Callithrix jacchus: one gene and its partner. The protein of the gene in region 2 interacts with the protein of the main gene of each other region in a pairwise test. Links are inferred from orthologs where the notes say so. Each region holds a gene or a part of one and is shown on either strand. Other genes may lie near its edges. The genes, in order: NUP153 and TPR.

Region 1 (4,481 bases), on a different chromosome or scaffold from region 2:
CCCCTGTTTCCCGGGTGTCATGTCTTTTCTGTTACTCACTTTTCTGATACAGCACATCTTTCAGTGATTCTTGAGGGTTCAGGGATGAAAATTTTGAGGCCATACATGTCTGCAAGGATCCATATCTCTCCACATTTGGTAAGATTTTGATTGAATATAGATGTAGATTGGAAATCATTTTCATAATTTTGAAGGCATTCTCTCTTGTAGACTTTCTGGCTTCCAGAGTTGCATGAAGTCTTGGTCTTTGCTCTTTGGCCTGTTTCTTCTTTCTGGAATCGTTAGACTCTTCTCTTTTGCCTCCAGTGTTCTGTTACATCAGGACGTCTTGATGTGTATCCATTTTTATCCTTCGTGTAAGGAGTGCAGCATGCTCTTTTGTGAACATTTTGGGGAATTTTCCAGCATTATTTATTGAAGATTTTGCCCTTTATCATTCCTTTCTTTCTCACCTTTTATCTTTTTGTTGTACTTTCTGAGATTTATCTTTCATTACCTGTTCTGTTGAGATTTTAACTTCCACTATTGTGACTTTAATTTCCAAGTACTCTTTTTTATTTTCTGGATGTTTCTTTTTTATGCTCTGTGTTCCCCCACCCAGTCCCCCAGTGGATGAAGTATTCATTAAAGACACCGAGTTTGGATTTTTTTCCTTGATGTTTTGTTTCCTTGCTGAGTCAGTTTTCCTAAAATTACTTTTATTATTTTTGTCTCAGTGTTTCTTATTAAATACTGTCCTCAAATGTCTGGTACTCCTTGGCTACCTAGTTAACGTTTTTATGAGTGTAGGACACTTAAATACCACTTAAATCCTTTCTGTGTTGATAGGGCTTGCAGATCTCAAATTTCATTGTAGATTTATCTGGTTTCTCTATTTCACTAGATGAAAGGATGTTAGTATCCTTCTTTCTTTCCACTTAGTCTGTCAGATTCCCCAGAGAAGATGCATCCAGTCTCCTGCTTGGAGGGCATCAGGGAACTTCCATTTGCCAGTGTTCTGGAAGTTAAGATTTGGAAGATGGCTGGAGCCCTTAGTATTTAATGAATATTGAACCTACTCTTAATTCCCATTTTCAAAATGATATTCTTACTGTTAACTATATGTGGTATTCCCCAGTCCAGACACTTGTACAAAGACTTCTGTTCTGGTGAGGTGAAAGAGGAGAATTACTGTCTTCTTTTTTTTTTCTCCTTTTGAGATGGGGTCTCACTCTGTTGACCAGGCAGGAGAGCAGTGGCACAATCCGGGCTCACTGCATTCTCGACCCCCTGGGCTTGAGATCTTCCCACCTCAGCCTCTTGAGTGGCTGGGATTACAGGTGCACACCATTATACCCAGCTAATTTAAATAATTTTTTTATAGAGATGAGGTCTCTCCATGTTGCCCAAGCTGGTCTCAAACTCCTGGGCTCAAACAGTTCACCTGCCTTGGTCTCCCAAAGTGCTATTACAGGCATGAACCACTGCACCCCACTGAGAATTACTATCTTGGTGTTGGGAGGGGAGGGATTGGTCCTGGATATCTGCTATCCTTCCTTTCTCTGTCTCTCTCTCTCTTTTTTTTTTTGAGACGGAGTTTCGCTCTTGTTACCCAGGCTGGAGTGCAATGGCGCAATCTCGGCTCACCGCAACCTCCGCCTCCTGGGTTCAGGCAATTCTCCTGCCTCAGCCTCCTGAGTAGCTGGGATTACAGGCACGCACCACCGTGCCCGGCTAATTTTTTGTAATTTTTTTAGTAGAGACGGGGTTTCACCATGTTGACCAGGATGGTCTCGATCTGTTGACCTCGTGATCCACCCGCCTCGGCCTCCCAAAGTGCTGGGATTACAGGCTTGAGCCACCGCGCCCGGCCCCTCTCTCTCTTTTTTAATTCCTGCCTTAATTCTCACTTCCAGAGGTATTTGGAACCTAAACGTTTTGGGTATGTTTGGTATAAATGCAATTGCTTCTGTTCTTTACCTGCTGCTAGTTCCGTATCAACTCTATCAGCCTTCCAGCTTCTAAACCTTTGTTGCTGTGGTCACCTCTCTCTCTATCTTTGTAAAAATCCCTTGTTGTTTTAATGCACTGTTCAAAGAAGATAGAGCTAAATGTCTTTATTGATTTCACTATCTTTAACCAGAAGTCCAGGCTGCCCTTTTCCCCTTGGTCATAGGTAAGTTGTGTGATTTGTTGGAGGTGTCAAGTATGTACTGTGTGTTAGTGGAGAAAATATTTTAGTTTTCTTTGGATTAAGAGACCAAAATATCTTAATTGTCTGCATGTGTTTATATGTAGAGGTCAGAGTCATTAATTTCAAAACGTATCATTTTGCCCTAGTGAAGTATTTCTGCTTCAATTCTTATAGGTTCGGTTTTCCAGTTCGGCAGCAGCACTACAAATTTCAACTTCACAAACAACAATCCATCAGGAGTGTTCACATTTGGTGCAAATTCTAGCACACCTGCAGCCTCAGCCCAGCCTTCAGGCTCGGGGGGCTTTCCGTTTAACCCGTCTCCAGCATTTACAGTGGGGTAAGAGAATTTTTTATTGAAATGGAGAATTTACATTGGTTAGGGTATGTACATGTATATATTTTGTTTTCAAAAGTTACCAAGATCCAGTATGGTTTGGGTAAAATTAAATATGTTCTCCAACATAAATTGACCATACTGCAATTCTGGAGGATTATATTATAGTTTGAGAAAAGAAACAGTAATGCGTGTGTTAGGTATAGCAGAAAATGTATATAACAGTTGCTGCTGCTCATGGTAAATGTTAGGATTCGGAAATTTTGCTCCGAGCATCATACCACATTATGAAGCTTTTATTTTTTACAGGTCAAATGGGAAAAATGTGTTCTCATCTTCTGGAACTGCAGTCCCTGGCCGCAAGATAAAGACTGCTGTTAGACGCAGAAAATAAAGGTCACATTGGTGTTATACGCAATTTTAACAGCTCGTGCCTGCTTTCAGATACTGAGTTGGACTTTGCGCTAGGGTTATCTGAAGTCAGATCTGCCTAAGGACTTCTTTAATTTTGGATTTTTCCTCCTTTCCCTTTCTTTACAGAAGCCCCACCCTGCTTCATCTACCCTCTTTTTAAAAATAATAGCTAGACTGGTGACTGATTCTGCAGCAAAAATATTTTATGATCCAGCAGATTATTCACTGATTTGACATAGTCTGGCTGTTCCCAGGAATGGAGCCTGCACGGCAAATGGCTTTGTATAGAACCTCTTTGTCTACACCATTATGTGCGCTGATAAGCGTTTACGGAACGCGTTGAAATTGTAATTATATCTGAGGAATTCTGTATAGATTAGAATTCTGTATAGATTAGAGAATGTTGAAATGGATGATTTCTATGCTGAGTTTGTGCTGGTGTATGTGTGAAGTGAGTGAGTTGGGTGTATTGTGCACTAAACTTTTCTGATAGAGGAAGCCTGATTAAAGAATGGTCCGTGCTAAGGACTTGTTAGATCTAGTTCATTCTCCATTTAATAATTACATGCTATTTCTATATTTTCATTCTTCTATCACCTGTCTTGCCTTTTTCATTATTTTATTATGAAACTTGTGTAAATACAATTTTGTTTCTGTACTTTTTTGGCATAACATAAATCTGTGAACTTGAAATTTGAATTTTGTGTTAGAGATTTTTTTGTTGTTTGTTTAGTCTTGTCTCAGATTTTATTATATAAGTCCCATTATTCAAAGTTGCCTAAATCCATTTGGAAATCTTTAAAAAAAATTGGAGATTCTTAAAGTTGAATTTATTGGCTTTTCTGATCCAGTTTTGTTTGGACCAAAAACCAGTATTGTACAAAGTATTAAGCATATATTTTTATATTTACTAAAATGGACTGTGGTGACTTTGGATAATAAGGAAAAGTTTAATATTAAAGCCATGTTTATTACAGTATAATTAACATGTTAAACCATGGGATAAATGCCATCAATAAAAAATTATGACATACTTTTTGTTCTAGTATTACCTCATAATGAAGGTACACAGTCTTATTGGGACAGGACTATTAAAAGGTTAACAGTGGCTCATTAGAAGATAAATGCCAAAAAGTACATTGACATGATTCAGAAAACTCCTAAGAGAAGGGGAAAGTAATTTGCACATCAATTTACATACCTTTAAAAAACAGTTGAAAGTAAACACACATCCATTTCACTTTGTGCTTGTATCTTCCTTGGTAAGTTACTGGATAGTGTAAGTATTATTTTATTGTTTTTTTTAACTGGATTGTTTTCCTGTGGTTCACAAAAGAATTCTTGGAACAGTATTTGGTAATTTTATTTTTCAGTTTGAATGTAGTTATTTTGTGCTCAGTTTTAATTTGCTGAACTTCTGGTTGGTTGAAGTTTCTTTCTTTTCCAAGATGGAGTCTCTCCCTATAGCCCAGGCTGTGGTGCAGTGGTGTGATCTTAGTTCACTGCAACCTCCGCCTCCCGGGTTCAAGCAATTCTCCTGTCACCTTCCCGAGTAGC
Region 2 (3,820 bases):
ACATTTAACAAACCAAAAAGGGTAAATGGTTAAACAACAACAATGATAAAAGCAGCACTTTGGGAGGCTAAGACGGGAAGATCACTTGAGCTCAGGAGTTTGAGACAAGCCTGGGCAACACAGCGTGACCCTATGTTTTACAAAATCATAAAACAATTAACTGGGCATGGTAAAACATGCTTACAGTCCCAGTTAGGAGGCTGAGGCTAGGGGATCACTTGAGTCCAGGTGAGGTTGAGGCTGCATGAGCTATGATCAAGCCACTGTACTCCAGCCTGGGAAACAGGCAAGACACTGCCTCAGAAAAAACAGAAGCACTTGACTATTTTCATTTCTTCACTTATATTAATAAATATTTACTTCTTGACTCCTCCTGTATCAAGCATAGTGCCAGGTGCTGAGAAATACAATAGAAAACAAAATATCAAGTCCCTCAGCAACAGCCTACAATAGAACACAAATTATATCTGATTCTTCTTTTTCAGACACCCCAAACGCAATCATTAGCAAATTCTGAATGCTCAAATTTAAATATATATCCCAAATCTGACTACCTCTCACAACCCCAACTCTACCATTCACCTAAGCCACCACTATCTTTTCCTGAATTACTCCAACAGCCTCCAAAGTTTGTCCTTGTTTCTGTCCATTATTCATTTCCAATCTCTTCTGTACATAGCAGCCAAACTGATCAGATAATGTCAGGTCATTATTTGTGTGAAGCCTTCCAATAGCTCCCGGTATCCATGAGAGAGCCAAGGCAATTACAATGATGTGCCTGATCTATCCTCTCCCGCCCCTAATATATCTCCTGCTAGTCTCTGTTCTCATTCACTCTGCTTCAGGCACATGGCCTCCTTGTTGACCCTGAACACAAGCAGATACCTGCTGCCTTACGGACTTGACATCTGTTAGTATTTTCTTCGATCCAGTATGCTTTTTATTAAATAACTGCCCAGCTTTGATCCCTTTCTTCTTTCAGGTCTTTACTTAAATGTCACCTTCTCTTAGTGATGCTTCCTATGAAACTGCCTGCTACATTATCAAGTATTTATTTGTTGACCAAATGAATAACTACTCAGAAGTACATTTTACATTATCAAACAAATTTAAAGACATCTTAATTTCATTGATACTTTCAAAGGGACCAACAACCATATTTTCTCATGAAAGTTCTGATAAGATATAGTAAGTGCCAATTCTCTTGAGGGAAGCCAATTTTTATGGGACATCAAAATATAACCGGGGGCATAAAAGCTCAGTAATTATTAATATGATAGTTATAAATTTTTTGAGCCTTACTGCCTATGAAATGGTTCTATAATTTACATACATTATTTTAAATCCTGATTGCAAGATTAGTTATGAGTATCCATATTACATAAATGTACAGAAATTTAAAGTTACCAGATATGAAAAGGTAGATATTGGATCTGAACTCAGGGAGGTTAGCCAATAGGTTCATGTGTCATATCAAAGCAGCTGAGAGGCAGGGGAAGAGATCTTGGGATAGCAAAGTTCTGTGATTTTGAAAAAGTAATAAATAACTGAGCAGGTGTGCCATAAAATCTGAAGGTTCCATGGCAGAGTTTGAGAATTACCACTGTAAACAATTCAAAATTAAAATAATCTGAGTGAATGACCAACTACTGTAAATCCTTAATAATAAAGGTAATTCTCTGTCTAAGAATCTGAAGTAGACAAGCTACCACATTGTACTGTTTAAGAGTGGAGTCTCTGGAGCCAGACTTCTTTGGTGTAATTGTTGCTTGTCCATTACTTATTAGCTATTTCACTTTGAAGAGGCTATTCACCCTTTCTGTGCCTCAGCCTCCACATCTATAGAATGTGGATGAATATCTACCACATTGAGTTGTGAGAATCAAATGAGTATATATAGGTAAAGGGCTCAGAATACTGCCTGATACACAGTAAGTGTTCAGTAAATGCTGTCATTCTAAAAAAAACTTTTATTACAGGAATAATACATCTTTTTTCAAAATTAACTTCAAAAATTTGAAAAGTCAAATTCTGAAACTGTTTACCTCAGTAAATTTCAAACAATTTTTTTTAAGCAATGGAACTCCTACCCCTCAACTCTCCACATCAAATCTCATGTAGAATCCCAGTATGCAGAATAAATAAAAATGGAGCGACTGTGGTTCAAACAGAGGCAAGGGGCCTGGCACACCCTAGCACTCCTTAGCTTCCCTCCCAGTGTACCCATCGACTCCAACCCCAACAGCACCTCTAAAAGACCCAAGAGCTCTACAGAACATCTGTCGACAACCATTATTCCAGATGAAACATGAGTGAGCTATTCTTTTGGGATGGATTCACCATGTCCATATTTCTTATTATCGATGCCAGAATAGTCTTAGAATAATGATTTCAATATAAACCAAGTTCCCTTTAATAATAAAATTTCTCTTTTAAATAAAGCATTTTAAAATAAAGGAAACAATGATTATTAATTTGTTACTAATATGTTGTTACTAAGAAAGCAGTGTTCTCACAAACAAGTTTGATGCATAAAAGTTGTATTGTGGTCAAGGGCAGGGACTCACCTACAGATGAGCTGGAAGGAGGATCCTGGCTGGTGGAGGGGAGATCTGACTCATCAGAGGCTTGAACCGGCTCTTCTTCCTGTTGGCTATCAATTTCTAGGCCTGCTTCTGAACTAATACTAAGGAAAAGAAAAATTAATTAGAAAATATAAAACTGATTCTAGAGTCTATCCTATTTCTACTCTTTTAAATCTGTTATCACTTAAGATTACTTAAGTAATCCAGAGCTCCCTTAAAGAAAAAAATTACAGACTGATTTGGTAACCATATATATTTTTCAAAGGAGCAGAGGGGAAAACAGTTCAAACAGTTGCTTTTTCCTCACTCCTTTTCTCACTATAACACATTCCAATTTTAGTTTATGACTTTCCTCTTTTTATGTTTCCTTTTTCCTTTTGACAAGGTTGTTCACATCTTGACACTCATAAGAAAATATATGGTCCAGATTTTGATAAATCTCAAAACATTTTACGAAAGCACAGTATTAAAAAGTTCACAAGTCACACTATTAAATGGTATATTAGTAACTAAACCACAGACTCTAGCCCAGATGACACAGGCAATAGGTATGTAAAAATCCTGGCTCAGTGGCTACAACTCCATCTTTCTCTGTTCCATTCAAGACACAAATGAGGGAGATGGTACAAGAATAACATGAATCTGCTCCAGTTTAAGTTATTTGCAAACTTCATTAGCTGACAAGTCATCTGAGTATCTCCCAGGACTGTGCTGAAACTGAATACTGCTGGTGAAGTGTATAGACTATGGGCTGAAGTCAGGGCTTCCAATCCATTCTGAGCTGCTTCCAAAGTAGTGCAGTTTAAGCAAGTTATTTTAACATGCTTTGAGCCTCAGTTTTCTTATTTGTATAACAGAGACAATGCTTAACAGGGATACTGTATAGGTTAGAAATGACATTTGTAAAGTGACTTGCATATGCGGTACAGAATTAGTGTCAGCTAGTGTTTTCAAAAGAGTCTGTAACCTCTCAAAATTAAGCAGCACTGTGTTAAAGAATAACAAAAGAATCACAACAGACCTGCTTTTGTCATCATATGGAAGAGTTGGCCTGTAATTACTCTAAAAAAAGTCGCTAAATAAAATAAATCCTTGAGTTCTATTAGAAAATCTGGGTTCTACTTCTTAGCTATGCTTCTGATTATGAGGTAGTCCAACCTTTTCATTTTATTAAAAATTAGACTTGGCACAGTGGCTCATGCCTGTAATCCCAAATGTTGGCAGTCTGAGGCGGG

The links.
Region 1: the proteins of TPR (region 2) and NUP153 interact in a two-hybrid assay, tested with the Homo sapiens proteins (3 studies listed by BioGRID, with this or other methods). The link is inferred for Callithrix jacchus from reciprocal best matches to the Homo sapiens genes TPR and NUP153.

Annotation. Positions count from the first base shown.
Region 1 is NC_133505.1:13,137,687-13,142,167, forward strand, and holds the end of NUP153 (nuclear pore complex protein Nup153), read left to right. Parts: intron 1-2,347; coding exon 2,348-2,513; intron 2,514-2,819; coding exon 2,820-2,904; 3' UTR 2,905-3,957; downstream 3,958-4,481. UniProt on the Homo sapiens protein: Component of the nuclear pore complex (NPC), a complex required for the trafficking across the nuclear envelope. Functions as a scaffolding element in the nuclear phase of the NPC essential for normal nucleocytoplasmic transport of proteins and mRNAs.
Region 2 is NC_133519.1:44,340,545-44,344,364, forward strand, and holds part of TPR (nucleoprotein TPR), read right to left. Parts: intron 2,687-3,820; coding exon 2,568-2,686; intron 1-2,567.